Callithrix jacchus: one gene and its partners. The protein of the gene in region 2 interacts with the protein of the main gene of each other region in a pairwise test. Links are inferred from orthologs where the notes say so. Each region holds a gene or a part of one and is shown on either strand. Other genes may lie near its edges.

Region 1 (9,707 bases), on a different chromosome or scaffold from region 2:
TTTTGTATCTGTATTCCATTGTTCACTGAAATGTCATTAAAATATGGCATTATAGTTTTCTGGGACATCTTTTATGTGTGTATTCCATTGTTGGCTGAAATGTCCTTATGTGGTACATGACTATATAAATAGTGTATAAAAATAAACACGTATTTATTTATACAGTCGTTCACTATATATATATGCACTATAGTCATGCACTTTACACACAGGCGCACGCGCACGTGCACACACACACACATACACACACACACACACACACAGGACCTCCCCAAGGACCAAGGACCCAGCCATTTTATGGCTAGGTATATGTCCACGAGAGATAGAGAGATGAACGTATTTATTTTATACACACAAAAGTGTTTGAACTGCTTGTACTCACGACACCATGGAAAAATCTCAAAAACATGTTGAGCTGAAGAAGTCAGGCACAAAATTGTGCACACAGCATGCCTACATTTATATTAACTTCAAAAACAGGCAAAACTCATTTTTGGCATGGTTAGAGATCAGAACAGGGGTTGTCTCTGTGGAAGAGATGTGCTGGCTGGAAAACAGCAAGAAGGAATTTCTAAGGTTGATGTTCTACATTTTGAAATGCTATCCTGTATCTTGATCTGGGTGTTGATTACACAAGTTCATGTGCTTTCAAACTCCATGAAGTGGCATACTTTTATTTTTATTTTTAGACACAGGGTCTCACTCTAGTGCTCAGGCTGGAGTTCAGTAGCATAATCATAGCCCACTGCAACCTTGAACTCCTGGGCTCAAGTGATCTTCCCACCTCAGCTTCCTAAGTAGCTGGGACTACAGGTACATGCCACTATGCCTGGCTAATTTTAAAACAGATTTTTATAGAGATGGGGCCTCATTATGTTGCCTAGGCTGGTCTCAAACACTTAACCTCAAGTGATCCTCCCACCTTGGCCTCCCAAAGCACTAGGATTACAATCATGAGCCGCTATGCCCGGTCTGACCTGCATACTTTCAATTGAGGCATTTTAGTCCATGAAAATTATCCCTTTGTCAGATGGGTAGATCACAAAATCTTTTTTCCCGTTCTGTTGGTTGCCAGTTCACTCTAATGATAGTTTCTTTTGCTGTGCAGAAGCTCTTAAATTTAATTAGCTCCCATCTGTCTATTTTGGCTTTTGTTGCCATTGCTTTTGGTGTTTTAGTCATGAAGTCCTTTAAGACATTTATGCAGCCAACAAACATATGGAAAAAAAAGCTCATCATCACTGGTCATTAGAAAAATGCAAATCAAAACCACATTGAGATACCATTTCACGCCAGTTAGAATGGCGATCATTAAAAAAATCAGGAGACAACAGATGCTGGAGAGGATGTGGTGAAATAGGAATGCTTTTATATTGTTGGTGAAAGTGCAAATTAATTCAACCACTGTGGAATACAGTGTGGCAATTCCTCAAGGATCTAGAACTAGAAATACCATATGACCCAGCAATCCCATTACTGGATATATACCCAAAGGATTCTAAAACATTCAGTTATAAAGACACATGCACACATATGTTTACTGCAGCACTATTTAGAACAGCAAAGACTTGGAACCAATCCAAATGCCCATCAATGATAGACTGCATAAAGAAAATGTGGCACATGTACACATAGAATACTATGCAGTCAAAAAAAGGGATGAGTTCATGTCCTTTGCAGAGGCATGGATAAATCTGGAAACCATCATTCTCAGCAAACCGACACAAGAATAGAAAACCAAACACTGCATGTTCTCACTCATAAGTGGGTGTTGAACAATGAGAACACATGGACATAGGGAGGGGAACATTACCCGTTGGGGCTTGTTGGGGGGTTGGGGAGCTAGGGGAGGGATAGCAGGGGGTGAGGGGATTGAGGAGGGCTGACATTAGGAGAAATATCTAATGTAGATGACAGGGAGATGGATGCAGTAAACCACCATGGCACATGTATACCTATGTAACAAACCTGCAAGTTCTGCACATGTACCCCAGAACTTAAAGTATAATTTTAAGAAAAGAAAATTATATCTCAGTAAAGTAAGGTTAACATAAAAAGTTAAGATTTGATACAACTGGGTAGCTGCACGGATGTTCAATACTTTATCCATATACTTAAACTACAAATGGATCAAAGATTCAAATGTGAAAAGTGGAAGTCATAAATGTACTAAAAGAAAATAAAGGTGAATTATTTTACAAATTCAGATGAGGAAGGCCATTGTAACAGTGACTTGAAATTAAGAAACTGTAAAAAATGCGATAAATTCGACTCCATAAAATAGCAGTGTTTGCAATAGTCTATAAGTTTGAAAATGTATTAAAAAGACTCAAAGAAACTACATCAAGAGGTTAGCAGTGAAATTCTTTGCATTTTGTAGTTATTGATGATTGTTATTTTCTTATTTATGTTTTTATATACATTTCACAAATTGAATGTATCCCTTTTAGAATCATCAGAAAAATTGACTGAAAACCTAACGTTTCTGCTTCGTTAGTTTTTCAGAGTTTTTTTCTGCTTCCATACCTTTCTGTCTTATAATTTTTATTCTTTTCCTCTTGTGTCTCACAAGCAGAGTTGTTTCTTCCTCCCATGGCTGATTCTCTTTTGATTTCTTCAGGGCAACATGTCATCCATCAGGCTCTCCCCTTTTCCTGCCTCCTTTATGTCTTCTTTACTATTGGATCATTTTTCCTTTCCCTATAAGCACGTCTGTTACCTGATCCTACAATATGTCTGACCCATAACCATAAGGCCCTTCTTCCATGAAGGTGGCTTCTGCCTTCTTTTCATTATCAAACTTCTGACAGAATAGTGGATATTTGTCACCTTTATTTTTCTGCCACCAGGTCATTTGTTAACTTTTGTCAATCTGACTAGCCTGTAATCACTTTAATATATACTCCACCTTGGAGAGCTTCTTTATCTACTGTCATACAGCTCCACTGCAAGTGCAGAAATGTTCAACCTTCCTGTAGACAGAGCAAGGCTCAAATTCTTGTTTGCCTGGCAATCAAGGCCCTCCACAGTCTCGACGCAGCTGACTTTACCTCATATTCCTGGACCCCGACCCACTCCATCCATTCTAGCCCGACTGCATCCTTTGCCATTGCTCAACTCTTCCTGCCCTGTCCCTCCACTGCACATTTATTGTTGGGGTTCCCTCTACCCTTTCCTCATCTGTGTGTTTCAAGACTGTCCTGAAAGAGATTCTAGGGTTCATGCATATCTGGCTGTCCTCTCCATTTGGGCACATGGGAGACTTACTCTCCGTTGCCCCTTTGCAGTTAGGCAGGGTATTAGCAAGGCTCTGTTGTCCGGTTGAAGACCTTTGGGCTGTCTCTTCCCTGCCACAGAAACTGAGAAGGCAGCACTTTCTAGAAGTGCTTCTGTCTTTTCTTTTCTTTTTTTTTGAGTGTCATTTTCAAGAATCTCATCTGTAAAAACTCTAGTCCACACTGCCCTGGAAGATCAAATCTGGAAGTGATAGAAAGTTCTTGACAGCTCTGTCCTCTGTCTTTCTAAGAAAGGGGTTGTGCACAACATAGGAAGAATGGGCACTAGGGCCAGCCTGAGCCCAGTAGCTGAGGACTAAGAAGGCCTTATCTGCCTCTGGAGAGCCAGTGAGGAATCCATGAATTGTAAATATTAAATTTACACTGAGAAGTGTGAGTCCCTGAATCGTTAAGTGCTTCTTGCATTTAAAGCAGGTAATGTTTGAGGCTATTGCATGAGGGTCCCTATGCAGAACCTAGAATTCAGGGACTTTTTAACTTTTAATTTTTTACCATTGTCCACTAGTTTTTAATGTTCTATCAGTTTAAGTGAAGCGTAGAAAACTTACCTCTGTTTAAATTCCTTTACTCACCTCCGTTTTAATATAATTGTCTTAAATATCTTCTACACATATACTGAGAACTGATCAGACAGTATTATACTTCTTGCATCAACCATGAAACTTAATTTAGAAAACTCAGGAAGAGAAAGAAATTTATTTAAATTATTCATATATTAATTTTTTATTATATTTTTTCCTGTCTGATGTTCCAAGTTTCCTTATTTTATAGTTTCGTTTGTGTTTAGAGAACTTTCTTTAATCATCATTTTAGGTAGGTTTCCTGGCAACCACATCTTTTAAGTTGCCTTCGTCTGAATATCTTGATTTCTCTTTGATTTTCTGAAGGATATTTTCATAGGGTCTGTAAATCTGGCTTGACAGTTTTTATCTTTTAGCATTTGGAGACTATCGTACTACTTCCTATTGGTTTCCATGGATTATGGTGACAGACCTGCCATCATTTAAATTGTTTTCTTCTGTTGGTAAAGTGTCATGTCTCTCCTACTGCTTTCATAAGTTTTGTATTGTACTTTAGGTTCTGGGGTACATGTGCAAATCATGCAGGATTGTTGCATAAGTACACACATGGCAATGTGATTTTCTGCCTCCATCTCCCCGTCACCTGTATCTGGTTCTCCCCATGTTATCCCTCCCCAACCTCTCCACCCACTGCTGTCCCTCCTCTAGCCCCACCAACAGACCCCAGTGTGTGATGCTCCCCTCCCTGTGTCCATGTGTTCTCATTGTTCAACACATGCTTATGAGTAAGAACATGCAGTGTTTGATTTTCTGTTCTTGTTTCAGTTTGCTGAGAATTATGGTTTCCAGATTCATCCATGTCCCTACTAAGGACATCATTTTTTATGGCTACATAGTATTCCCTGGTAAATATGTGCCACATTTTCCTTGTCCAGTCTATCATCGATGGGCATTTGGGTTGGTTCCAAGTCTTTGCTATTGTAAACAGTGCCACAATGAACATATATGTGCAAGTGTCTTTATAACAGAATGATTTATAATCCTTTTGATATATACCCAGTAATGGAATTGTGGGGTCAAGCGGAATTTCTATTTCTAGATCCTTGAGGAATCGCCACACTGTCTTCCACAATGGTTGAACTAATTTACACTCCCACCAGCAGTGTACCAAAATATATACATCTACTATGTACCCAGAAAAATAAAAAATAAAAAGTTAAAAACCCTTGTCGGTTAATTCTAACATCTTTTTCCTCTTGATGTTGGAATTTGTTGACTGTCTTTTCTCATGTAAGTTGAGATTTTATGGTCCTTGGTATGAAGAGCAATTTTTGATCGAAACCTGGATGTTGGGGTATTATGTCATAAAATTCAGGTTATTATTTAATCTTCCGTTCTAGCTGGTCTCTGACACTGTTTTGGTAGGGGAAGGGGATGCTGCTTCATTCCGAACAGGCGGGAGTGGAAATACAGGTTCTCTTCACTTTGCCTCTGTGGACACCCAAGGGGAGGGCTCCTCATCACTGCTGGGAGGGGGGATTTTAGACTCCTTACCTGACCTCTGCAGATACCACCCTGGCCGGGGGGGGGCAGAAATAACTTGGTATTGCTTCCATGCAGATTCCACTGACACTGCATGGGGGAGTGGCCTTGGTACTGCTGGGGGAGGGAAAGAGTCCTGGCTGTCCAGCAGGCCTCTTGTGACACTAGCCCTAGAGAAGAAGAGAGAGCCTCACTGCAGCCTGCAGAGGTAAGTCTGGACTGCCTGTGTGATCTCCACTGACACCGTGGTGGTGGTGGTGGTGGTGGAAGGGGGGTGCTTCCACATCTCGTAGCAGGAATGAAAGTCCTGGATCTCTCACTTAGCCTTCCCTGACTCCACCCCAGTGGGGAAGTTTGAGTGCCTTGTGACAGCCTGGGAAGGACAGAAGTCTGGACTGGCTACCTGGCCTTTCCTGGTGTGGATAGGGGTGGGCGAAAGGACATTTTCTGTGGTGTCTGGCTGAGTTGAGTGGTTACTGTCTTAAGGTTTTCTGTCTTTCTAGGCTGCTGCTTTTCTGATTCTTTAGCTAAGCAGAGCAAGCTCTTCCTGTTTATTTGTTTTGTCTGCACCTGTTGGTGTTTCTGGTTATTGGTTTCTCCAGCTCCCACTTTGGGATATATCAGATAAAAAGATAATCCAGGGAGCCCACCACAGTGTCACTCCTGGGGTCTCAATACCTTTAGGTGGTTTGCCTTCTTCGTCTACCTTTCAGAGCCTTCTTATGTTTATTTTATATGTAGTTTCCAGCATTTTTAGGTAGACTTGGAAGGAGGAATATGGAAATATGCACCTACTTCATCATTCTGGAAGTTCTCTACCTTGTTTCTTAAATGTATGAGAATAATTATTCTTATAACCTAAATGTCCAGTAACAGACCAATGCACCTTATGGTACACTATGCAACCAGTAAAATGATGGTACAACATTACATTTTTATGAAAATTAAAAATGCTCAGATGACATTAATGAAAGAAAGATTACACAACTGTGTGCATATGTAAGTATGATTATAGCTATGTGGAAAACCCAAACTATGGACAATGGCTGTTTGGAAGATGAAATTGTAAGTAACCCCTTCCCTTTCAATGAGCCAAAATTTTAAAAAAGAGAATCTAGTACTTTCATAATCAAAAAATAAATTTTATCATATTTTGTTCCTAAATTTTCTCTCAGAAAGATACATACAACTATCTTCTAAGATATATGACATTTTGCATGGGTTCATTAATTTATTTGTATTTCAGGAGTTAAAAAATATTTTCAATCTGGGTTTATATACATTGAAACTATGGTTATGGGTTTAGATGATTCCCTTGCCATAAGATAAATATTCCACGAACAGCAATCAGCCACAGAGCTATACTTACCATGCTAAAGGAAGAAAACATATTTTATTTGGAGATTAGCAAGAATGCTTTATGGGCTCCCAGCATACCACAAATAAGCCAGAAGGAGAGGAAATAGTGAAGCAGAAAGACTGAGGATGCCTGGAGGGCAATTCCGGGATACGAAAGCCCCCTGGACTTGTGCTTCCGGTTTGGGTGTCCCTGGTTGAAGCCTCGTCTCCTTTCTAGGACGCTGCTGGCTTTGATTCCTCCACCTGCTGTCCTTCACATTCACAAACAGCAGTTTTCAACTGTGCAGATTACATAGGCTGAGCATGGCTCACAAGTGTTGCTCAGCGTGCATGTGGTCGAACATGTGTTACAGGAAAGCCTGGGGGAAAATCGATTTTAAACTAAGCTTAACAAGGGAATCTTGATAAAATGGCAATTCAGAAAAACCATGTCAAAACTTGCCCTATAATTTACGTTCTGAAAAAAACTCTGCACAATAGCATTGACCAAAGGCTATTTCTTCTTTGTGCCCAGAATTGCCACTTCATGTTCACAGTGGCAGTTGAATAGTCTTTTATCTTTTTTCTTGAATTTGCAAATGTTATCTTAGGCCTATTCCTGATTTTCCGTGAGTGGAAAACAGGAACAAAGGGAGGTGCCAGCATGACATGTGACACTAATAATTAATCTGCCTTTAGAATATTTAAAAAATAGTTCTCATGTCATGTGCTTAGCCTCAGCTACTTTTGAGCACTCTTTTAAGAAGATCCCTGAACACATTAGGGAGGTTTGAACTGGGCCAGATGTTGGGGAAACAGGATTCTCTCACATCAGCGTCTTTGAGACTCTGAGGGGTTTCATGAGTAACTGTGGAACTTGCCTGCTGTCCTCGCTCTCCAGCAGGCCCTGGTACGTGTTGATTTCGCCCTCCAGCCGGGCCTTCACATCCAACAGCACTTGGTACTCCTGGTTCTGTCGCTCTAGGTCGCAGCGGATCTCGGCCAGCTGGTTCTCCACGTTATCGATCAGGCACTGAATCTGGGCCAGCTGGGAGCTGTACTGGGCCTCGGTTTCTGCCACGGTGCATTCCAGAGAGTCTGTCTGCAGGAGGAAACATTGTCCAAAGGACCATGAAGTGCAGTCTCTGGGGCCAGAGCCTTCTGCCTCCCAGATCCAAGCAATTCTCCTGCCTCAGCCTCCCGAGTAGCTGGGACTACAGGCTCCTGCCACCATGCCCAGCTAATTTTTTGTATTTTAGTAGAAGTGGCGTTTCACCATGTTGCTCAGGCTGGTCACCCGCCTCCGCCACCCAAAGTGCTGGATTACAGGTGTGAGCCACTGTGCCCAGCCACAACAGTGCCTACTTTCAAATCCTTACTCTACCCTTTTCTAGCTATGTGACTAGTGGCAAATTATTTACCTTCTATGAGCCTCAGTTTTATTCTCTATATATTGGGGAATGCAAAGTCTTTGTCTCATTAGAGGGTTGTGAAGATTAAGAGTTAGTATGTGTAAAGCACTTAGGACAGTGCCAGCCATACTACCACTGTTCTACATGTCAGCTATTACTACCACCACTACGACTGCAGCAATCCACGCCGTATTTGTGAAGCTTAAGGACTATCAACAGCATTTGAGGGGAAACATTGAGTTTGGGCTCTTGGCAGGGAGGGATAGTATAGTGCTGTTAAGAGAAGAGGCTCTGGGTACTGAGGCTGGAAAGGGTATATGTGTGGTAAGGGGATGAAGAGAGGTTGGTTAATGGGTACAAACATACAGTTACATAGAAGGAATATGTTTGCATGTTGGACAGTAGAGAAGGGTGGCTACAGTTAACAACAACACACTGTGTATTTCAAAATAGCTAGAAGAGAAGACTTGAAATGTTCCCAGCACACAGAATTAATAAATACTGGAGGTTACGGATGCCCTAAATATCTTGCCTTGATCATTACACATTCTATGCATCTAACAAAGTTTCTCATGTACTCCATAAATATTTACAATATATCAATAAAAAATAAATTTAAACAGAGAGCGAGAAGAGACTCTGGGATTTGACTGGCTGAATTCAGCTTCCATGTTTGCCTCTTAGAATTACATCCTTTGCAAATTACTTAATCTGAGTCTCCGTTTTCCTTATCTGTGTTATGGGATAAAGGTATCTATCCCATAAAGTTATTGTGAGGCTTAAATGAGCATGATGCCTCTCACAGGATGAATGCTCAGCTATCATCATTCTTCTAGGTACTCTCTGCAGGACCTAATGAAATGCACACAGTGGTGCTTGACCAGAACGGGTGAATGTAATCTTGAACGCATGGTGTTCTTGTTGCTTGAGTGGGCTGGGAGGCAGTGAAGTGTCAGGTTGAAGTATAGATCCCAGGAAATGGTAGGATGAAACGTTTGAAAATGACTCTTTGTTTTAGATATGACAGTGAGCCCGGAAAACTGGCCTGAATCAAAGGAGAATTAAAACCTGCTGGAATGAGTAAGTGACCTTGGCCTGGAGGTCTCTGCTTCCCCCTCCCTGTCTCTGAAAGCTGCCGAAGCATCAGACTCAAGCCCAAGAGTGAAGGCGAGGCATCTTAGAGAGCAATACGAGCTGTCGACTTGTCACTTCTGCTTCTATTAATAGCTGGGTAAATGACAGTACTTGGGAAAGGCAAGGAAATATGATCCCCAGATATGGAAGAGGGCTTAACATCTCAGGGCCGGACTTATCAGTGACACAACAGACACTGCCTTTGCCTCACACACCAGGCTTTGCTGTGCTTGGAGCTCAATTTCCAGAGCATTGGCTGTGCGTTTCAGTTCCAAGATCTCTGTCTGGCAGCCCTGCAGCTGCTCCGCGCTGGACAGTTGCTGCTGATTCAGCTCTTCTGTCTGAAACACAGGTACCATTAGAGAATTCAAAAAAGGCAGAAGTCTGTAAGCCTGCCATTTTTTTGATCTGGGTGCTGACCTGAACAGCGAACCATTCTTCTGCTTCTCTGCGGTTGTTGGCCA
Region 2 (9,707 bases):
CGCCTGTAATCCCAGCACTTTGGGAGGCCGAGGCGGGTGGATCACGAGGTCAAGAGATCGAGACCATCCTGGTCAACATGGTGAAACCCCGTCTCTACTAAAAATACAAAAATTATCTGGGCACAGTGGTGCCCGCCTGTAATCCCAGCTACTCGGGAGGCTGAGGCAGGAGAATTGCCTGAACCCAGGAGGCGGAGGTTGCGGTGAGCCGAGATCGCGCCATTGCACTCCAGCCTGGGTAACAAGAGCGAAACTCCGTCTCAAAAAAAAAAAAGAAAAGAAAATGGGAGTGTTTGGTCCCCGGCGCACTGATACTGGAAGGCACCTGCGTACATAAACCCTGGCAGGTGGCCTCCCAGGAGAGAGGGCGTCTGGTCCCCACGGCGGTGGGGGCGGGGCAGCAGGGTTTTGCTGGTGGCAGCAAAAACATGGGCTTTGTGGTTGGCTGAAGGCCTGACTCTTAACAAGTAGTAAGTATTCATCTTAAAAACCCACGGCGGGTGCGGCGGCTCACACCTGTAACCCCAACAGTCTGGGAGACTAAGGAGGGCAGATCGGAGATCGAGACCATCCCAGCCAACATGGTGAAACCCTGTCTCTAATAAAAATACAAAAATTAGCTGGGTGTGCTGGCGCACGCCTGTGGTCCCAGCTGCTTGGGAGGCTGCGGCAGGGGTATCACTTGACCCCCGGAGGCAGTGGTTGCAGTGAGCTGAGATCACGCCACTGCACTCCAGCCTGAACACAGAATGAGAGTCCGTCTCAAAAAAAAGTAAGTCCAAAATCCTAATCTTTGTTCCTTCCTCCTTTATTTATTTTTATTTTTATTATTTTTTTTAAGATGGGGTTTCAGCATGTTGGTCAGGCTGGTCTTGAACTCCCAACCTCAGGTGATCCGCCCGCCTTGGCCTCCAAAGTGTCTGGATTACAGGTGTGAGCCACCGCGCCCGGCCAAGATAATTAATCTTGATCACGGACGGCTCTCACCTTTATCTGCCAAGGTAAGGAGCCTTGGGTTCCAGATCCATTTTACAGCTGAGCACAGTCGAGGCCAACCATTCATCCGAGGGGGCAGGGTGCCTAGTGGGTGATGACGATGAAGAGACTGTACTTAGCACCTGCCAGAGGAAGACCCTGAAGTCACAGCCTTATTTCAGCACCTCTTTGGGACCTGTTCTCCGCATGGCAGAGAGAGGGATCCTTTCATAACTGCCACCAGGTCTGCTCCCTCCTCTTCCCACGGCCCTCCAGGGATTCCCACCTCACTCAGAGCAAAAGCACCTGTAATCCCAGCTCTCTGGGAGGAGGAGGAGGCGGGAGGATCACCTGACGTCAGGAGTTCGAGACCACCGTGGCCAACATGTGAAACCCCATCTCTACTAAAAATATAAAAATTAGGTGGGCGTGGTGGTGGGTGCCTGTAGTCCCAGCTACCCAGGAGGCTGAGGCAGGAGAATCGCTTGAACCCAGGAGGCAGAGGCTGCAGTGAGCCAAGATCGTGCCACTGCACTCCAGCCTGAGTGACAGAGCAAGACTCCATCTCAAAAAAAAAAAAAAAAAAAAAAAAAAAAAAACCACCAGGTCCTGTCCCTCTTCCTTCCACAGCCCTCCAGGGCTCCCACCTCACTCAGAGCAAGAGCCCTGTACTCCCCGAGGCCCACAAGCCCTTTTGGAACTGGCCTGTGTCACCAGCTACAGAGTTGCAGGGCACAGTACAAAAGAAAACTGAAAGGCCCCTTGTTCGAAAATGATTCGGAATTTCAAAACGCAGCAGTAAAGATTCACCCAGGCAGAAGCCCTGCTGGGGGCAGGGGGCCTGGGCAACAGCATGAAGCCCCAGGCCCAGGCCCTGCCTCCATCCCGGGCATCCTGGTGCCAGGCACAGTCCTGCCCCAGGGCCTTTGCACCTGCTCGTCCTGCCTCTGACTGGCACTGCCCCCATCCCCTGTTCTCGCTCCTTGGGGTCCGTTTGTGGAGGAGGAAGCCCTCTCTGACCCTCCCTGCCCTCTGTTCAACCTTGCACCTTCCTACCCCGCCATTGTCCCAGCCGATTTTCCCCGCAGAGGCGTCCCCACCATCTGACCTGCTGGGAATTCAGCTCCTGAATTTATCTCTGTCTGTCTCCAGGCACCTCACCAGGGCAGGGGCCTTGTACCCCCCCCACCCACCCCAGGGCCCTGGAGCAGCCGGGCCTGGCACACAGGCCCTCCATAAAGGTGTCCAAAGAATGGCTTCCCTGAGGAAGGCGGCATGACCGCTGCCTTTCTGCAGAAGAGGAAACTGAGGCCCGGCGAGAACCACCGCCCAGCCAGAGCCAAGGTCACAGAATACGTCCCTGGCACGCGTCCAGGTCGTGCCACCGCAGGGCCGGCGGCTTCGACCTGGGCAGCCGGGTCCCTTTCTCTGACAGATGGGGAAACCGAGGCCAGGCCGGCCGCCAGGCTGGGGCGGGTGGCGGGGGCCGCGGCCCGGGGCGGGGGCGCGCCGGGCCCAAGGTCACCGCGGCGGGCGGGCCCCGGGGAGGCGGGCCGGGGTGGGGATCCGCAGGCCTCCCCGGGCGCGCGCGTCCCCCCCCTCGGCGGCGCGCACGGGGCACGGGCGGCGGCGGCAGGTGGAGCCGGAGCCTCCGCAGCAGCCGAGCCGCGGCCACCGCCGGCGTCGCCGCCATTAGACAATAGCGGTGGGGCCGGGGAGCGGGGAGGCGGGCGGCGGGGAGGGGCGGGGAGGGGCGCCGGGCGCGCAGGAAGCGGGGCCCGGGGCGCGCCGGGGCCGGGCGCGCGGGGAGGGGGCGCAGGAAGCGGGCGAGGCCGGGCGCGGGAGGCGGCGGCGGCGGCCCCGGGAGCTGCCGATCCGCGCCGGGACAAAGGCGCGGCCGCCCGGCGCCCCGAGCAGCCCGAGCCGGGGCGCACAGCCGGGGCGCAGCCCGCGCCCCCCGCCGCGACTGACATGATGTTTCCACAAAGCAGGCATTCGGTAAGCGGGGCCCGCCCGCCCGGCGCCCCCTCCCCGCGCCCCCGCCCCGCGCCCCCCCAGCTCCCGGGCCCTGGCTTCCCTCTCGGGCTCCGAGCCCCGCGCGACCCCCGTCCTGCCGCCGACCCCCGGACACCCCCTCAGTTCCCGATTCTCCCCCAGCTTCCGGGCCCCGAACCCCCCCCCAGCTCCCGGCTTGGCGCCCCCCCCCCCGCCCGCCGGGACAGGCAGGGCCTCGGACGGCCTTGGCCTCGGGCCTGGGGATCTCCGGGAGCCCCGCCAGGCACCTCCAGCGCGGGGCTCCTTTGGGGGCCTGTGGTGGGGGGGACAATCCGAGGCGTCCCCCCTCCCGGAAGAGAGCGCGTCCCCGAGGAAGGGCGCTGGGATTCTGGGGTGGGCTCCCCCCCGGAAGATTTAGGGCGCCGAGAGAGACCCCCTTCCCCAAGGGGACTTTGCAGGGGGGACTCGCTGCCCCTCAACTTGGGGAGGGGGCTCCCTAGGGCGCGTTTCCACCCCCCTCGGAGGCACCCACTCCCGGCGCTTTGGAGGGGCGGTAGAGGGCGTACCCTGCCCCCCACCTAGGGCGGGCCTTAAAACGCACCCCCCACTGCCTGGGGGTGGCGGGGGACGGGGCGGCTCCGGGCGCACCCACCCCCTCAGCTTCCCCCGGGGAGAGGCGGGGGCAGGAAGCGCGGGTGGGGGCCTTGCCAGGGGCGGTAAACACGGGCCCAGGAAGTGGGGCAGGAGGGGGGGCGCCGCAGCTGCGCGGCCGCTCCCTCCTGGCCCGCCCTTGAGGGGGGCCTGGCCCACGCCTGGGCCTGACCGGGGCGCCCCCCTCCCCACAGGGCTCCTCGCACCTACCCCAGCAACTCAAATTCACCACCTCGGACTCCTGCGACCGCATCAAAGACGAGTTTCAGCTCCTGCAAGCTCAGTACCACAGGTGAGGGGCGGGTCGGGGTCCCTGCGCCCGAGAGGGTGAGCCCCCTTGTTCTGCACGGACGGCAGATTGGGAAAATAACGTGTGCTAGGCTCCGACCGAATCGCTTGACAAATACTGAATTCCTTTCTTTAAACAGCCCCAGTTTGTAGAGGAGGAAACCGAGGCACAAAAAAGTTAAATAATTTGCCCAAAGACCCACCTGTGTGACTTCAGAGTCCCTCCCTCCTCCCCAGTCTCCCCCAAGCCCCCCCCCACCCCCCGCTGGATAAAAGACCTTGCGCCAACCAGCTTAGAGCCTGGACTCACCATCCCCCCAACCCCAAAACACATTTTGTAACCTGGTTATGTCTGTCTTTGGCCAGTTTTGGAGAAAGGGTTCCCAGCGCCCATCACGTTCTCCAAGGTGCTTCTCCTTTCAGAAATCTGACCTTTCTGAAGAGTTTGCCATGTAGCTGGTCTAAGGCGAGGGAACTATTGAGTCCTCTTAAAGAAATGTAAGCCCAGGCCGGGCGGTGGCTCACCCTTATAATCCCAGCACTTTGGGAGGCCGAGGCGGGTGGATCACGAGGTCAAGAGATCGAGCCCATCCTGGTCAACAAGGTGAAACCCCGTCTCTACTAAAAATACAAAATTAGCTGGGCACAGTGGTGCGTGCCTGTAATCCCAGCTACTCGGGAGGCTGAGGCAGGAGAATTGATTGAACCCAGGAGGCGGAGGTTGCGGTGAGCCGAGATCGCGCCATTGCACTCCAGCCTGGGTAACAAGAGTGAGAATCCGTCTCAGAAAAAAAAAAAAAGAAAACAAAAGAAAGAAGCTTAAGCCCAGAGAGGTCAGGGATTTCCTCAGGGTTAGTATCCACAGCACTGAGGAAGGGGCAAGGCTGAGGTGGGCACCAGGTCTCTCTCCTGGTGTAAGGATGCAGATTCCCACGTGCCCTGCTCTGGAGGGGCGCAGCAGACCTGGGAGTCTGGAGGAAGTCAGGCCACGCTGAGGCCCACGTTTCAGCCTGGGGGCCCTCTCCTGACTGCAGTTTGCCCATCCTGGAGGGACCCTGGACTTCCTCCAAGTAGAAAGGGGAATCTCGATTTTGAAACTATCCAAACTTTCGGGGTACTCCCTGTGTGCTAAAGACCATATGTGCTTCCTCGTGAGGTCCGGCTGTCGTGCCCATTCTCAAGATGGGCACACTGAGACCCCGACAGTCAAAAGCACTGGAACCAGCTTTCCAGGAAGGCCCCAGAAACTTCTATTTGGGTCCCTGGAAGCATAGGGTTTGAGACTGCCTGGTGGGCCCTGGGGCTGACCTGATTCCACAGGGAAGAGATCAGATGGCCTTCGCAGTGCTGTGTGACCTCCAGTAAGCCAGACGCCCTCTCTGAGCTTTGGAGTCTCCATCTGCTGGGCCTGGGCTTTCTGCTATCCAGAAAGCCCTGCCATATCAGGCACACACTGGATGTTCAAGGCATAACAGCCCCTGGGTGGCCGGATCAAGTCTCACGCTGTCGCCCAGGCGGGAGTGCAGAGGGGCAATCTCGGCTCACTCCAACCTCCGCCTCCTGGGTCAAGTGATCTCCTGTCTCGGCCTCCCAAGTAGCTGGGATTACAGGCACGCGCCACCACTCTCCTAATTTTTGTATTTTTAGTAGAGACAGGCTTTCGCCATGTTGGCCAGGCTGGTCTTGAACTCCCGATCTCAGGTGATCCACCCGCTCGGCCTCCCAAAGTGCTGGGATTACAGGCGTGAGCCACTTTGCCCAGCCCTGATTTTTTTTTTTTAATGTTAGCAACAAATGCACTTTTTTTTTTTTTGAGACGGAGTTTCACCCTTGTTACCCAGGCTGGAGTGCAATGGCGCGATCTCGGCTCACCGCAACCTCCGCCTCCTGGGTTCAGGCAATTCTCCTGCCTCAGCCTCCCGAGTAGCTGGGATTACAGGCACGCGCCACCATGCCCAGCTAATTTTTTGTATTTTTAGTAGAGACGGGGTTTCACCATGTTGGCCAGGCTGGTCTCGAACTCCTGACCTCAGGTGATCCACCCGCCCCGGCCTCCCAAAGTGCTGGGATTACAGGCGTGAGCCACCGCGCCTGGTCAAGTGCACTAGAGGAAAGCTGGTGGAGGCCAAACATCCCCAACTTGGCACCCTCTTCTCCGGTAGAGCACAGTGCCAGGCTCCCTGGGGGTCATAAGATCCATGGGCATGGGCTGCTACTGGGTTATCAGAACTTACTAACATTAGTATCGCTAAAGTTGGTATACAAGCCCCCACTGCTAAATTTGACTGGCTTTAAAAAAAAATCCCCATGCATTTATGGGGTGCTTGCTGTATGCCGGGTACTGTTCCAGAGCTTTTCTTGTCTGAGTTCATTGAGTCTTCCCCACTGCACCCTGCGAGGTGGGTGGCACCTCACAGAGGAGGAAATGAAGCCCAGAGAAGTAGCGGAGTCTGCCTGGAGTCACACAGCAGGGAAGACGCAGGGCCAAGCTCTCAACCCAGTCCGGGAGGGGCCGGGGCTGGTCGGAGCAGGTCAGCCAGAGCCAGGTCCGCAGGGCCGCTGTGCTGGGTTGGATTTAAATGGGTAAAGGACACGGGCTTGTCCACCTCCCCCACTGCATCACGAGTTCTTTTCCTGGACTGGGAGGCCTTCCTACCCTCTCCCTCCGGCGACGACACCCTCATGGGGGCTTTGAGAAACGCCTGGAAGCTCATCCCTCCCGGGAGGGCCTGTAAGAAGGAAACTGTGGCATAAGCCACCTGGACGGCCCAGGTGGAGTTGGAGAAATGGTGTGTTTTGTCACAGCTAAATAAAAAAGGCTGCCGGGCGGGGTGGCTCACGCGCGTAATCCCAGCACTTTGGGAGGCCGAGGTGGGTGGATCATGAGGTCAAGAGATCGAGACCAGCCTGGCCAACATGGAGAAACCCCGTCTCTACTAAAAACACAAAAATTAGCCGAGCGTCGTGGCGAGCGCCTGTAATCCCAGCTCCTCGGGAGGCTGAGGCAGGAGAATCGCTTGAACCCGGGAGACGGAGGCTGCAGTGAGCCGAGATCGCGCCACTGCATCCCAGGCTGGCGACAGAGCGAGATGCTGTCTCAAAAAGAAAAAAAGACAGGAAGGAATAGAGGGAGCTGAGGGGTCTCCCCAGGAAGCTCAGGCCCCCACGAAGCTAGGGTCCCCTTGGGAAGGCCAGCTGGGAGCTGCCTTGCAGCCCTGGACCCTCTCAGCCTCTTTAAGATTTCTATTTGGGTCTGGAAAATTTTCCCCTGTGGTTGAAAGCTTGGGCTGCTTCTTGGCTGTGTGACCTTGAGCCGATTGCTCGCCCTCTCTGGGTGTCCACTGTGTCATCTATAAAAGGAGCGTGACAATGACGCTGCGGGAACATCCGGATCGTGAGAGGTAAAGGCTTGTGAAAGTCTCTGAGGCCGCGATGCCGAGCGCCCTCCGACTTCTGGTGTTTCTATAATGTCCGTTCTTTCTCCTCCACCAGATCTTCAAGGGGGGTTTCATCACCCCCTCCTTACCGTCAGCGGCCCTGGCGCTCTCCCCTCGCCCCCGAATCACAGGGAGCTCAACTTACCCACTTCCCTTCCCCTCAACTCAATGCCCTCAGCCCCACCAAAGCTCCTGGCTCCCTCGGCCAGGCACAGCAGGTGGCTCCCATCTGTAATCCCAAGCACTTCGGGAGGCCGAGGCAGGAGGATCACTCGAGCCCAGGAGTTTTTGAGACCAGTCTGGGCGACATAGGGAGACCCCCATCTCAATTAAAAAATTAAGAGTTGTTGTCTGACCCTCTGAGAACGGGCTGATTGCGCCCTTTCGGGGGGGTCGAGGCATCTTGGAGCCTCAGTTTCCTCCCCTGGATAACAGAGGGTGGGGGGTCCCGCCCATCTGCCACCAACCACCCGGTCTCCCCCTGTGCCTCCTCAGCCTGAAGCTGGAATGTGACAAGTTGGCCAGCGAGAAGTCGGAGATGCAGCGTCACTACGTGATGGTAAAGTCACTCCACCCCCAGGTCCGGTGCTCGGGGCGGGGACAGGGCCTCCCACACCCCACCGCCCCGCCACGGCCAGCTGCTACCTAAACCCGGGCCACCTCCCCTGGGAATCGTGCGGGCTCAGGGCCTGTTCTCCACTCAGCCGGCCCCTGCTGGGCTGAGCCTGCCTCACTAGCCTGGCAGCTGGCCGAGGAGGTGGCTGAGTTGCCAAGCCGCCGGGTTGCAGACCAGGCCTGCCAGGTCCCCCGGCTGTCCTTGGCAGCGGAGGAGGGAGGAGGAGGAGGAGGAGGAGGAGGCTGTGAAAGCCAACAGCCAGGAACTGACGTGGGGGAGCAGCCGAGGCCCTCCCCACTGCCAAGGGCCCCCCACTTAACCCCTTTGGGCCAAGCTGAGAGAGGAAGCCTGTGGGAGGGGGTCTGAGCCCTACTCATTTCAGGGGGCGGGGGGATCGAGGTGTGACACTGCATTACTGCTGCTAGAATCCTTTGCCTTGTGTTGTAACTGCCAGGTGGCAATTTCTGCATCAGAAATCCCCTCCCTGACCCACCCTGGCCTGACCCTCGAGCAGCGATACTAGGGTCTCAGCCCAGGACCCAGATCTCCCAGACTGTTGGGGGAGGCAGAGCCAGACTCTGACCCTGGCAGTCAGAAGGGATGGAGCCAGGGTCAGAGAGAGGGACCTAGGACCTGGATGAGGAAGACTATATGGAGAAGTGGGGCACGCAGCTGGGCTCTTGCAGGATGAGTAGGAGTTTACCAGGCAGAGAAGGAGAAACCGCGTGAAGGCCTGGGAATGAGCTTGGGTTTCTCCCGACGGGTGACGGGGAGCCACGGGAGGGTTTAGAGCAAGGGAGGGGCAGGGTCAGATCTGGGGCTTGGGATGAGGGGAGCTGCTGGCCCCAGAGCCAGAGCCAGTAGGCTCGTTTGCCCTCACTGTTTATACCCAGGCAGGCAAACATCCCGGAGTTGGGGCCCACCCGCAGTCAAGACATAGAAAGATACAAGATTAGGAGCCCTGGAATGCGTGTTCTCTCCATGCACGCGGAGTGGGGGAGGAGCCAGGCCGGGGCGAGGGACCTAGAGGGCCCCCCAGTCTCCATCCGCAGCCCTAGCGGGCCCCCAGCCCCCTCTCCCGGGCAGGCTGGCTGCCATGCTGGGTGTGGGTGTCTCTCTCTCCTGCACTCCCTCCCTCCCACCTGCCTCTCCCTTTCTTCCTGCTCTCAGCTGTCTCTTGCTGTCTCCCCCACTTGGTCTGTCTCTGTCACTCCCCTGTCTCTTTGTCTCCTCACCCCCCCATCCTTCCCCACCCCCATCTCCTGCTCCCTCTCTCTCTCCCCCAAATAGTACTACGAGATGTCCTACGGCTTGAACATAGAGATGCACAAACAGGTACGCCCTCCTCCTCCTCCCCTCCCCCTCCTCCCCCTCCCCCTCCCCTGCTCCTCCTCCTCCCCCTCCCCTCCCCCCCTCCTCCCCCTCATCCCTTCCTCCCCCTCCCCCCTCCTCCTCCCCCCCTCCCCCTCATCCCCTCCTTCCTTCTCCTCCCCCTCCCCCTCATCCCCTCCTTCCCCCTCCTCCCCCTCCCCCTCATCCCCTCCTTCCCCCTCATCCCCTCCTTCCCCCTCCTCGCCCTCCTCCCCTTCCTCCTCTTCTTCCCTCCCCCACCTCCGCCTCCCCCTTCCCCCTCCCTCTCCTCCTCCCCCTCCCCCTACACTCCCTCCCCCTCCTCCTCCCCTCGTCCTCCTCCTCTCTTCCCTCCTCCTCTCCCCTTTCCCTCCTCCCTCCCCCCTCCTCCCTCC
Region 3 (9,707 bases), on a different chromosome or scaffold from region 2:
TCCAGTTTGGGGCTATAACGAGAAATTCCACTATAAACATTTTTATACATGTTGTTACACATATGTATGCATTTCTGTTGAGTATATATGCAGTAGAGGTATTGCTGGGTCATAGAGTGTACGTTATGCTCAAGTTTCATGCATAATGCCAAACTTTCTTTTTGGAGATGGAGTCTCACTGTGTTGCCCAGGCTGGAGTACAGTGGCATGATCTTGGCTCACTGCAACCCCTGCCTCCCGGGTTCAAGCAATTCTCCTGCCTCGGCCTCCTGAGTAGCTGGAACTACAGGTGCACACTGCCACACCCAGCTAACTTTTTGTATTTTAGTAGAGACGGGGTTTCGCCATGCTGCTCAGGCTTGGTCTCAAACTGCTGAGCTCAGGCAGTCCACCCACCTCGGCCTCACAAAGTGCTAGGATTACAGGCATGAGCCCAAACTTTTTTCCGTAGTGGTTGTACCAATTTGCACTCTCACCAGCAGTTGTCCTTTAGCCTTGACAGCACTTGGTATTGTTTTTTAATTTTTACCATTCTGGTGAGTGTGAAAAGTGGTGTTTTAATTTTTTAAATGAGAGATTGGGTCTTGCCACATTGCCCAGGCTGGTCTTGAACTCCTGGGCTCAAATGATCCTCCCACCTTGGTCTCCCAAAGTGCTAGGATTATAGGTATGAGTCATCATGTCTCATCTTGTTTGCTTTTTATTGTGCTAAAAAACACATAAAATTTACCATCTTACCTGTCTTTAAGTGTATATATAGTTCAGTAGTTACATATATTCATATTGTTGTGAAACAGATCTCCAAAAGTTTTTTATCTTGCAAAACTGAATGAAACTGTTCCCATTAAACAAAACTCCCCTTCTTCCATCTTCCTTCCCCCAGCCTCTAGTAACCACCATTCTGTTTCTTTGAATTTGACTTTATTTTTATAATTTTTTTTGAGACAAAGTCTTGCTCTGCTGCCCAGGCTGGAGTGCAGAGGTGTTATCTCGGCTCACTGCAACCTCCACTTCCCAGGTTTAAGCAATTCTTGTGCCTCAGCCACCTGAGTAGCTGGGATTACAGGCGTGTACCACCATGCTGGGCTAATTTTTGTATTTAGTAGAGATGGGGTTTCCCCATGTTGGCCAGGTTGCTCTCAAACTCCTGACCTTCAGTGATCCGCCTGCCTCGCTCTCTCAAAGTGCTGGGATTACAGGCATGAACCACCATGCCTGGCCCCTGAATTTGACTTCAGACTCCTCACATAAGTGGAATCATACACTATGTCTTTACTTAACATAAAGTCCTCAAAGTTCATCCATGTTGTAGTATATGACAGCATTTTCTTCCATCATAAGGCTGAATAATATTCCATTGTATGTACACACCACATTTTTTTTTCATCATTGGATATGTGGGTTGCTGCTATGAACATGAGTCTGCAAATCTCAAGACCCTGTTTTCCATTTTTTTTTGGATATATATCCAGAAGCAGGAGTTCTGAGTAGTTCTATTTTTAATTGTTTTAGAGGAACATCTTCATATTGTTTTCTATAGTAGGTTTACCATTTTATAATCTCAGCAGCAGTACACAGAGTTCTAATTTCTTTCTTTCTTTTTTTTTTTTTTTGAGACAGCGTTTCACTCTTGTTGCCCGGGCTGGAGTGCAATGGCATGATCTCCACCTCCTGCAACCTCTACCTCCTGGGTTCAAGTGATTCTCCTACCTCAGCCCCACAAGTAGCTGGGATTACAGGGATAAATAAAAATATAAAATAAATAAAACAACAACAACAACAACAAAAAAAAACCTTTGTCTCCTGGGTTCAAGGCTAATTTTTGTATTTCCAGCAGAGACAGGGTTTCACTGTGTTAGCCAGGCTGGTCTCAAACTCCTGACCTCAGGTGATCCACCTTTCTTAGCCTCCCAAAGTGTTGGGATTACAGGTGTGAGCCACCACACCTGGCCAAGAGTTCTAATTTCAAAGTGGTATATTTTTGTCTTGCATTTATTAATGATGTTGATGCTTATTCATTTAGATCATTAGTTTATATCTGCATTTTAATAAGGTAACTGTTCTGGTCTTTTGTCAGTTTTTCAAATAGCTTGTCTGGAAAGGTTATTTATGTATTATAGATACAGGCTCTTTATTGGTTATATATATATATATGTATTTTTTTTTTTAAAAAGACGGGGTTTCACCATGTTGGTCAGGCTGGTCTTGAACTCCCGACCATCTTGGCCTCCAAAGTGCTTGGATTACAGGTGTGAGCCACCACGCCCCGCCTATTGGTTATATTTGTTGCCATTATCTTCTACTGTATGGTTTCCTGTTAATTTCTTGATGGTGTCATTTAGCAAGTTTATATTTTCTAACAGTTCAATTTACCAATCTTTCCTTTATGGTTAGTATGTATATGGGCATTTCTGGTCTGTTTAAGAACTCTTAGAGCATGAAAATACATTTACTTTCTTTTTTTTTTTTTAAAAGGTGGGGTTTCACCACGTTGGCCAGGCTGGTCTTGAACTCCTGACCTCAGGTGATCCACCACCTCGGCCTCCCAAAGTGCTAGGATTACAGGCATGAGCTATTGCACCCAGCCCATTTATTGTCTAGAATAATTATTCTCTTACCTTTTATTTATTAATTTTTTTAGAGATGGAGTTTTGCTCTTGTTGCCCAGGCTGGAGTGCAAGTGGTGCAATCTTGGCTCACTGCAACCTCTGCCTCCCGGGTTCAAGTGATTCTCCTGCCTCAGCCTCCTGAGTAGCTGGGAATATGTGCCACCATGCCCTGCTAATTTTGTATTTTTAGTAGAGACAGGGTTTCTCCATGTTGGTCGGGCTGGTCTCAAACTCCCAACCTCAGGTGATCTGCCCGCCTCGGCCCGCCAAAGTGCTGGGAATACAGGTGTGAGCCACCGCACCTGGCCTCTCTTACCTTTTATACTTAAATCTACAGTCCATTTGAAATAGATCTTTATATATGATTATGAGTGCAAGGTGAAATTCCATTTTTTTACATGAATATCCAAGTGATCCAGTATCATTTATTGAAAAGACCAACTTTTCAGTTCCATCTTCATCATAAAGGAAGTGTCCACACATGTATGGGTCTGTTATTGGAGTCTTCAGGACCTAAGTCCTGTTGACTTATGTCTATAATTGTGTCCAAACTGCATCGTTGTAACTATTATAGCTTTATAGTCTTTTTCTCTTGTTTTTAGAGACAGGGTCTCACTATGTAGCCCAGGCTGGCCTCAAACGATCCTCCCACTTCAGTCTCCTGAGTAGCTAGGACTATAGGCATGTGACACCATGCCCAGCTTACAAATCTTGATATTCATAGCAAGCCTTCCCACTTCAAGATCATCTTGACAGTCTCTCACCTTGATATTTTGCATTTCCCTATAAAAATGTGTATTTCTACAAAAACACTGTAGATATTCTGGCTTGGAATGCATGAAATCTATACATCAGTTTGGGAAGAAGTGACATTTTAACAACATCGAGTTTTTCAATCAGCAAATATACAACTTTTCTCCATTCATTTAGGTATGGAATCCCTGATCTTTTGATTTTTAAGTCCTTTCTGGGTTTTATCCCCTCCCTTGCTCTCTTCTCCACGACCTAATACAAGGATCAGGGCCCCTTCCTCCTCACCTGACTTAGGGTCACCAGGTTTTCCATTGGCCATGGGGGGAGGGCCCAGAAGGCTGGGTGGTCCTAAGAGCAGACATGAAAATACGGTCATCAGAATGGATTAAGGGACTGATGATTCTGTTCTTAGGTGTTTTTCTTCTATTACTCATTTCTTAATTCAACCAGTAAAGTCAGGTATATTTTCAGCAGTCTTAGGAGTTCTCACCCCATCTACCTGCGCTTTTTTCTGCAAAGCTGTTTCGGGTTTGCAAAGAGTAGATATTCAATCAAAGGGGATAATGCAGGAAAAGACAAAACTTTTTCTTTTCCTCACCGTACCGTCGCTATCCAAAACAATCCAAGTGTCTCCAGACATAAACCAATCCCTCAACTGCTGGCCAGTCAATTCTCTTCTCCTTCCCCTTGGCCAGAGGACTAGTTCAGAGAAAGCTGCACCTGCACCTCTTCAGTCAGTCTGGATACAAACTGTCATCCCAGTCATCACAATCTGCAACATCTCTACTGTCCCTTTCCCCTATTGTTCTGCGACTGCGCAAAAGAGCTCTTTATTCTCGCCACCCCCGCCTTCTCCAGAAAGGTTTGGGGCCAGTTTGAGGTTGATGGTTCCAGTAAGAGAACTCCTCGTTCAAGGCTCCATTTGGGACAGCCCCTTCCATTCCTCCCCAGCGCGTGCGCCCTTCCTCCTTCCGTTACAGCCCCCTCCTTTGCACCTTACCAGCCCCTAGCCCCTCGCCCGGACGGGCTGACAGGCATGTGCACGTCCCTCCCCGACCCCTCACCGATGGGACTCCCATCCTCCTCATCTCCAGTATCTTCCCGCTCGGGCAGTGGGGGCTGCTGCTGTGATGGTGGCTGGTGCTGATTCTGCTTCTTTCGTTTCGGCATCGTGGCTGCCGCAATGGCTGCAGCGGGATTTGGAGGGCAGTGAGGAAGGGGCACACGGGGATTCTGTTTCCGCTTCCGGCGGGGCGGTGGGCAGCGAGGATGAGGCTCCCGCCATTCCATTTCCGGAACGTTGCGGGGAACATCTGCAGCGGCCGCATTCTGGAGTAAACTGCCTCTGTCCGTCTCTGCTAGGCATGGTGGCAACCTCACACCTTCCCTTTGCTGCGTTTCTATAACTGCTTTGAAAAAAATTCCTCTCTTCTTCCCTCGTTGGAAACCACCACAACCAGCTCCTCGGAGTGTGCCACAGAGTCAAGAGGCTCTCTGGCCAGAAGGCCTGAGAAGAGGACTGTCGCACCGTAAGATCGCCACATCCGGTCCCCGGTTACTATGGTAACAGCTGCAGGCACAACTTCGTGCCCTCTGACCTCCCTCCAAAGTCCTTGTGCCGTTTGGGTTTCCCTTCTCGTCCCCTTTTGCACTCATCTGTAAACCTGCTACTTATCATCGTTCTCACAAGGAATTTGGGTCCCAGCAGGTCGGCACCCAGGACTCTTCAGACCGCCGCCCTCCCCTAAAGACCTCTGATCGTGCCCCCGGTGTAGCTCAGCAACCTGGCTTCTTACCCGGGACGCACAGTCTCGGTTTTCCAGTAAGGTCTAGCCCGAGGGTTGGTTTTGTAGTCTCAGCGAGTCCACGCCTCCTCTCCCCTAGGTAGTAGGCCCCGCCCTCCACTCCACCGCCCCCTCCAGGTGAGTGGTAGCTTCTCCCGGGAGCGCAAAGTAGTGATGACACGCATCCCCCCTTCTCCGAACGCAAGTTGGTAGCGTCCGTGACGGAGTTAGCCCGGTCCTCCCACGCGCGCCTCCTTCGCCGCCGCCGGGGCGCCCTCTCGGTGCCACTGGCTCTCACGTGCCAGTAGCCCACCCCGCATCATCCTCTCGCCTAGCTCCTGGAGGGAAGTGACTGTATATCTCCCTCGGTCGTCTTCCATCGCGGCCGCCGCGGCAATTCGGTCGGGCCCGCCCGCTGACGTCACCTGCTAGCCCCGCCTCCTCTAGGGTCCCGGGCCCCTGCGGCGGGGGCTGCCCCGGGGGCAGTTAGTTGAGGCGGCGGGAGCTCGGTGGAGGGCGGGCCAGGTGACTGGTCCGGGCCATGCCGAGGAAGAAGCCCTTCAGCGTGAAGCAGAAGAAGAAGCAGTTGCAGGACAAGCGGGAGCGGAAGAGAGGTCAGTGCGGGAGCGGGAGGAGGGGGCGGGGCTCAGGCTCCCGCACATCTGGAAGGAGGGGTGTGCTAGCTGCACTTCTCGGGGGCGTGGGAGGGGATCGTGGGAGAGCGCTGACCCTCGAGGCCTTTCGCGGAGGGGATTCCCCACCCCCCCTACATCTGGAAGGGGTGGGGAAAGATGGAGAATTGGGGGAGGGGAATCCCTTCAGCTCGTACAGGGCACGGTCCGCACTGCTCCCTGGAGGAGTGACTCCCCCGCGCACATCCGGGAGGGTCCCGAACAGGGTGGCTGGGAGGACGGAGCCTCCAAAGAAGTTGAGTGGGATGAAGGAGAGTCAGGCCGACGCGGGAGAGGGTCTTACGGCGCTTGAGAGCTGGCCAGCCCTGGCGTCACCCGCCCCTCTCCGCAGGGCTTCAAGATGGGCTACGCTCCAGTTCCAACAGCCGCAGCGGGAGCCGGGAGCGGCGGGAGGAACAGACCGATACCTCGGACGGGGAGTCTGTGACCCATCATATCCGCAGGCTTAACCAGCAGCCTTCTCAGGGGCTGGGTCCGCGAGGCTACGACCCAAATCGGTGAGGGTGGGAGGGGGCACTGGTTACGACTTTCCCGCCTACCCGGAAGTCAGAGCTTTGGGGGAAAGCAGGATGCTACTGGTGAAGACGGTGGGCCTAGGATGCCACAGTTCTCCGCTGGCCTCTCGGCTCCCCAGAGCAGGTCACAATCTTCCTTTCCAGAGAGGCTGGAGAGAATTTGTCTTTTAAAAGGAGGAGGCTGAATATTGCGTGAAAGAGGAACTTGGGGGAAGGCTGACTTGAGACAGGAGGCTTCAACAACTCTGGAGAGAATGCTTTGCGAAGTTGATTGTCCAAGAGGGGAGAAAATGGGAGTTTGTGGCCACAGGATTGCGCTGGATATCTCGGTCCCTGTTCCCTTAGATACCGACTGCATTTTGAAAGAGACAGCAGGGAGGAGGTAGAGAGGAGAAAGAGAGCAGCCCGTGAGCAAGTTTTACAGCCGGTCAGTGCTGAAGTGTTGGAGCTGGACATCCGAGAGGTCTATCAGCCTGGCTCAGGTGAGTGAGAGCAAGACAGGCATGGGCTGGGAAGGAGTTTGGAAAGGTAAGAGCCGACTGTGAGGAAGGAGGGGTCTGGGATGTACTCTTGAATACTGAAAATTTCCTCACACTTGGACTTCTTCCTGATTTCCCAGTTCTGGACTTTCCTCGACGTCCTCCTTGGAGCTATGAGATGTCCAAGGAGCAACTAATGAGCCAAGAGGAACGGAGCTTCCAAGAGTATCTTGGGAAGATTCATGGGGCTTACTCCTCTGAGAAACTCAGCTACTTTGAGCACAATCTGGAGGTGACTCAGAGTAGGGACAAGAGTGGGGCATAGTGACCCATGGTCAAATTGGTTTGGGGTCAGGCGGAGAGAGACTCTGTGTTGAGGTTCTCTTCTGGATCTTGTCTTCTTAGACATGGAGGCAGCTGTGGCGGGTGTTAGAGATGTCTGACATTGTCCTGCTTATCACTGATATCCGACATCCAGTGAGTACTAGCAATAAGGGTGGGCAAGGGGGAGGAGGGAGAAAAGGTTTTGGGGAGCACAGGTCAGAGGCAAGAGTTGGGAGACAGGTATCCATCTTCCTGTCTTTCTAACCTTTACCTAGTGCTGATGTCTTAGGAACTCAGTTTTTTATTCTGTCTTATGGCCTGTCACTCCTCCTTTGGCCAGTTCACTCTCTCTTCAAAACACCATGTCCTGTCTTTTAGCCCACCACAGTTAGACCAATAGAAAATCCAAGTGTGGAGCTCAAGGGATTCTATGAATGCAGTTGGGCACTTTCTCCTGCCCAGCCCAAAGATGCCCTTTCTTCCTTATCTCATTTCTCTAGCACAGCCATATCAGTTGCTACTGAACCTACCTGGAATGCTAGAGTAGTAGTTAAGGCTGTAGACTGCTGCTGGACTGCCCAGTGTGAATCCTGGCTCTGCCACTTCACTCTTGTCCTCAAGTGGGAGAAAGAGAGGTCTGTGAGGACGTTTAGATTGGAGCTCCTTCTTAATGATATATACACACATACTCACAAACACATATATGTGTTCATGTGCATATCAGTATACACAGGCATGTTTGCACACATTTTCACAGTCACATTCTTAATACACAGACATGCACACATGGGCACGTACTTGCATGCATGCATAAATGCATATGTACACACTTACATGGTTGTATGCACACAAAAACAGACTAATTTCTACCCTAACCCCATCCCTATTTCCGATCCCAGCCTTTACCTCAGTGTGCTAAGGGATGCTGTTTCCTTGTCTTGTTTTGGGTTATTTCCATCTCTAATCATGACCTATAGGAAGCCCCCTGAAACTCAGAAGTATTACTAACCCTGTTTTGTCTTCCTTGTTCAGTTTGGGTAGTTTATAGTTTTCAGCCCAGAACCTGCTACTGCCAGGGTCTTGTCTCTGAGCTATGCCTGCTGAGTGGGCAGCTGGAGGCAGAGAACTCTGGGTTGACCTCTTACTGCTCCATTCTCTTACCAACCCTGTCCTAGGTTGTGAATTTCCCGCCAGCACTTTATGAGTACGTGACTGGAGAACTTGGGCTGTCTCTCGTGCTGGTTTTGAACAAGGTGGATCTGGCCCCGCCAGCTCTTGTGGTTGCCTGGAAGCACTACTTCCACCAACACTATCCCCAGCTCCATGTCGTCCTTTTCACCTCTTTCCCTCGGGACCCCCGCACTCCACAGGACCCTAGTAGTGGTGAGTAGGCAATGAGGAGGGCAGCTAGGGAGAGGCGAGTTGGCAGGGGACAAAGGGGAGAACAGAGAGGCTTGTTGACAAGGGGGCACCTGGTCTTAGGCCTAAGGGTGTTGGGAGAGATGAGAGACCTAAGCCTATGTGCCAGTCCTTTTGTACGCTCTGATCTCAGTCTTGAAGAAGAGTCGGAGGCGGGGGAGAGGATGGACTCGGGCCCTGGGGCCAGAGCAGTTGCTGAGAGCCTGTGAAGCCATCACTGTCGGAAAAGGTATGTGGCCCTTAGAGGAGGGCTGTTGGGGACCATGGGGGAGACCCAAGATGCAGAATCATTTGGCTCACCTTTCCACCTCTCTGGTGGATGTGTGTGAGAAGCCAGGGAAAGGGAAAGAATAAGGAGCAGATTGACTTGGTGGGATGAGAGGCAGCAGGTAGTTGGGAGCCTCAGTGGCTTACTGCCTTCAGCCTTCCCAGTACTTTTCAGAAACTCAGACACAGAAATGTGCATGATTTCAGGGAGGGTGGGGTCAAGTGACTGCTGGGAGAGTTTTCTGGCCTACTTTTGTTCAGGTTGGCACCGTACAACTCCAGAGGGTGCCATCTTACATCATCTGTGCAGGGCACAGTATGTGCCATCATACACAGCAACCCCGGGGAGAACCTCCTCATCTTCTCCTTCTTTGAGCAGTGGACTTGAGCAGCTGGCGGGAGAAGATTGCTCGGGATGTGGCTGGGGCCACCTGGGGTAATGGCTCCGGGGAGGAGGAGGACGAAGAGGATGGGCCAGCAGTCCTGGTGGAGCAGCAGACTGATTCAGCGATGGAGCCAACTGGCCCAACCCGGGAGCGCTACAAGGATGGGGTGGTGACCATCGGTTGTGTGGGTAAGGAAGTGGCAGCTCATGCTTGGTGGCCTCCAAGGAGGAACAGAGTTTTCATATTTGGAAAAGAGGGTGGGTGATCTGGTCTTATTAGGCCCCAGGGTGTCTGAGGGGTGATCTCTGCCAGTGGTCACGGGCAAGGCAGAAGAGGCATCTGCTGTGGTGGAAAGATCATGACAGCCTGAGTTAAATTCCGCCTCTTCTCAGCTGTGAAGTCTTGAGCAAGTGATTTTGCTACTCTGAGTCTTGGTTACTTTGATTTTTAAAATGAAGACATTGATACCTGATTAAAAG

Evidence for each region.
Region 1: the proteins of TLE5 (region 2) and KRT40 interact in binary tests that used the Homo sapiens proteins (3 or more experiments, as listed by UniProt). The two-hybrid records come from large-scale screens. The link is inferred for Callithrix jacchus from reciprocal best matches to the Homo sapiens genes TLE5 and KRT40.
Region 3: the proteins of TLE5 (region 2) and PRR3 interact in binary tests that used the Homo sapiens proteins (3 or more experiments, as listed by UniProt). The two-hybrid records come from large-scale screens. The link is inferred for Callithrix jacchus from reciprocal best matches to the Homo sapiens genes TLE5 and PRR3.

What each region holds. Positions count from the first base shown.
Region 1 is NC_133506.1:92,280,376-92,290,082, reverse strand, and holds the end of KRT40 (keratin, type I cytoskeletal 40), read right to left. Parts: coding exon 9,664-9,707; intron 9,585-9,663; coding exon 9,459-9,584; intron 9,190-9,458; exon of another isoform or gene 9,128-9,189; intron 7,800-9,127; coding exon 7,579-7,799; intron 7,078-7,578; coding exon 6,978-7,077; 3' UTR 6,580-6,977; downstream 1-6,579. UniProt on the Homo sapiens protein: May play a role in late hair differentiation.
Region 2 is NC_133523.1:2,832,523-2,842,229, reverse strand, and holds the start of TLE5 (TLE family member 5), read left to right. Parts: upstream 1-2,946; coding exon 2,947-2,973; exon of another isoform or gene 2,974-2,974; intron 2,975-3,815; coding exon 3,816-3,913; intron 3,914-7,841; coding exon 7,842-7,905; intron 7,906-9,252; coding exon 9,253-9,297; intron 9,298-9,707. Other genes in the region: uncharacterized protein LOC128930549, read right to left, coding at 2,133-2,948. UniProt on the Homo sapiens protein: Transcriptional corepressor. Acts as a dominant repressor towards other family members. Inhibits NF-kappa-B-regulated gene expression. May be required for the initiation and maintenance of the differentiated state.
Region 3 is NC_133505.1:35,347,508-35,357,214, reverse strand, and holds the start of PRR3 (proline-rich protein 3), read right to left. Parts: upstream 4,574-9,707; 5' UTR 4,533-4,573; coding exon 4,427-4,532; intron 3,711-4,426; coding exon 3,648-3,710; intron 1-3,647. Other genes in the region: GNL1 (guanine nucleotide-binding protein-like 1), read left to right, coding at 5,688-5,760, 6,170-6,335, 6,699-6,835, 6,973-7,124, 7,238-7,309, 8,332-8,539, 8,709-8,804, 9,222-9,416.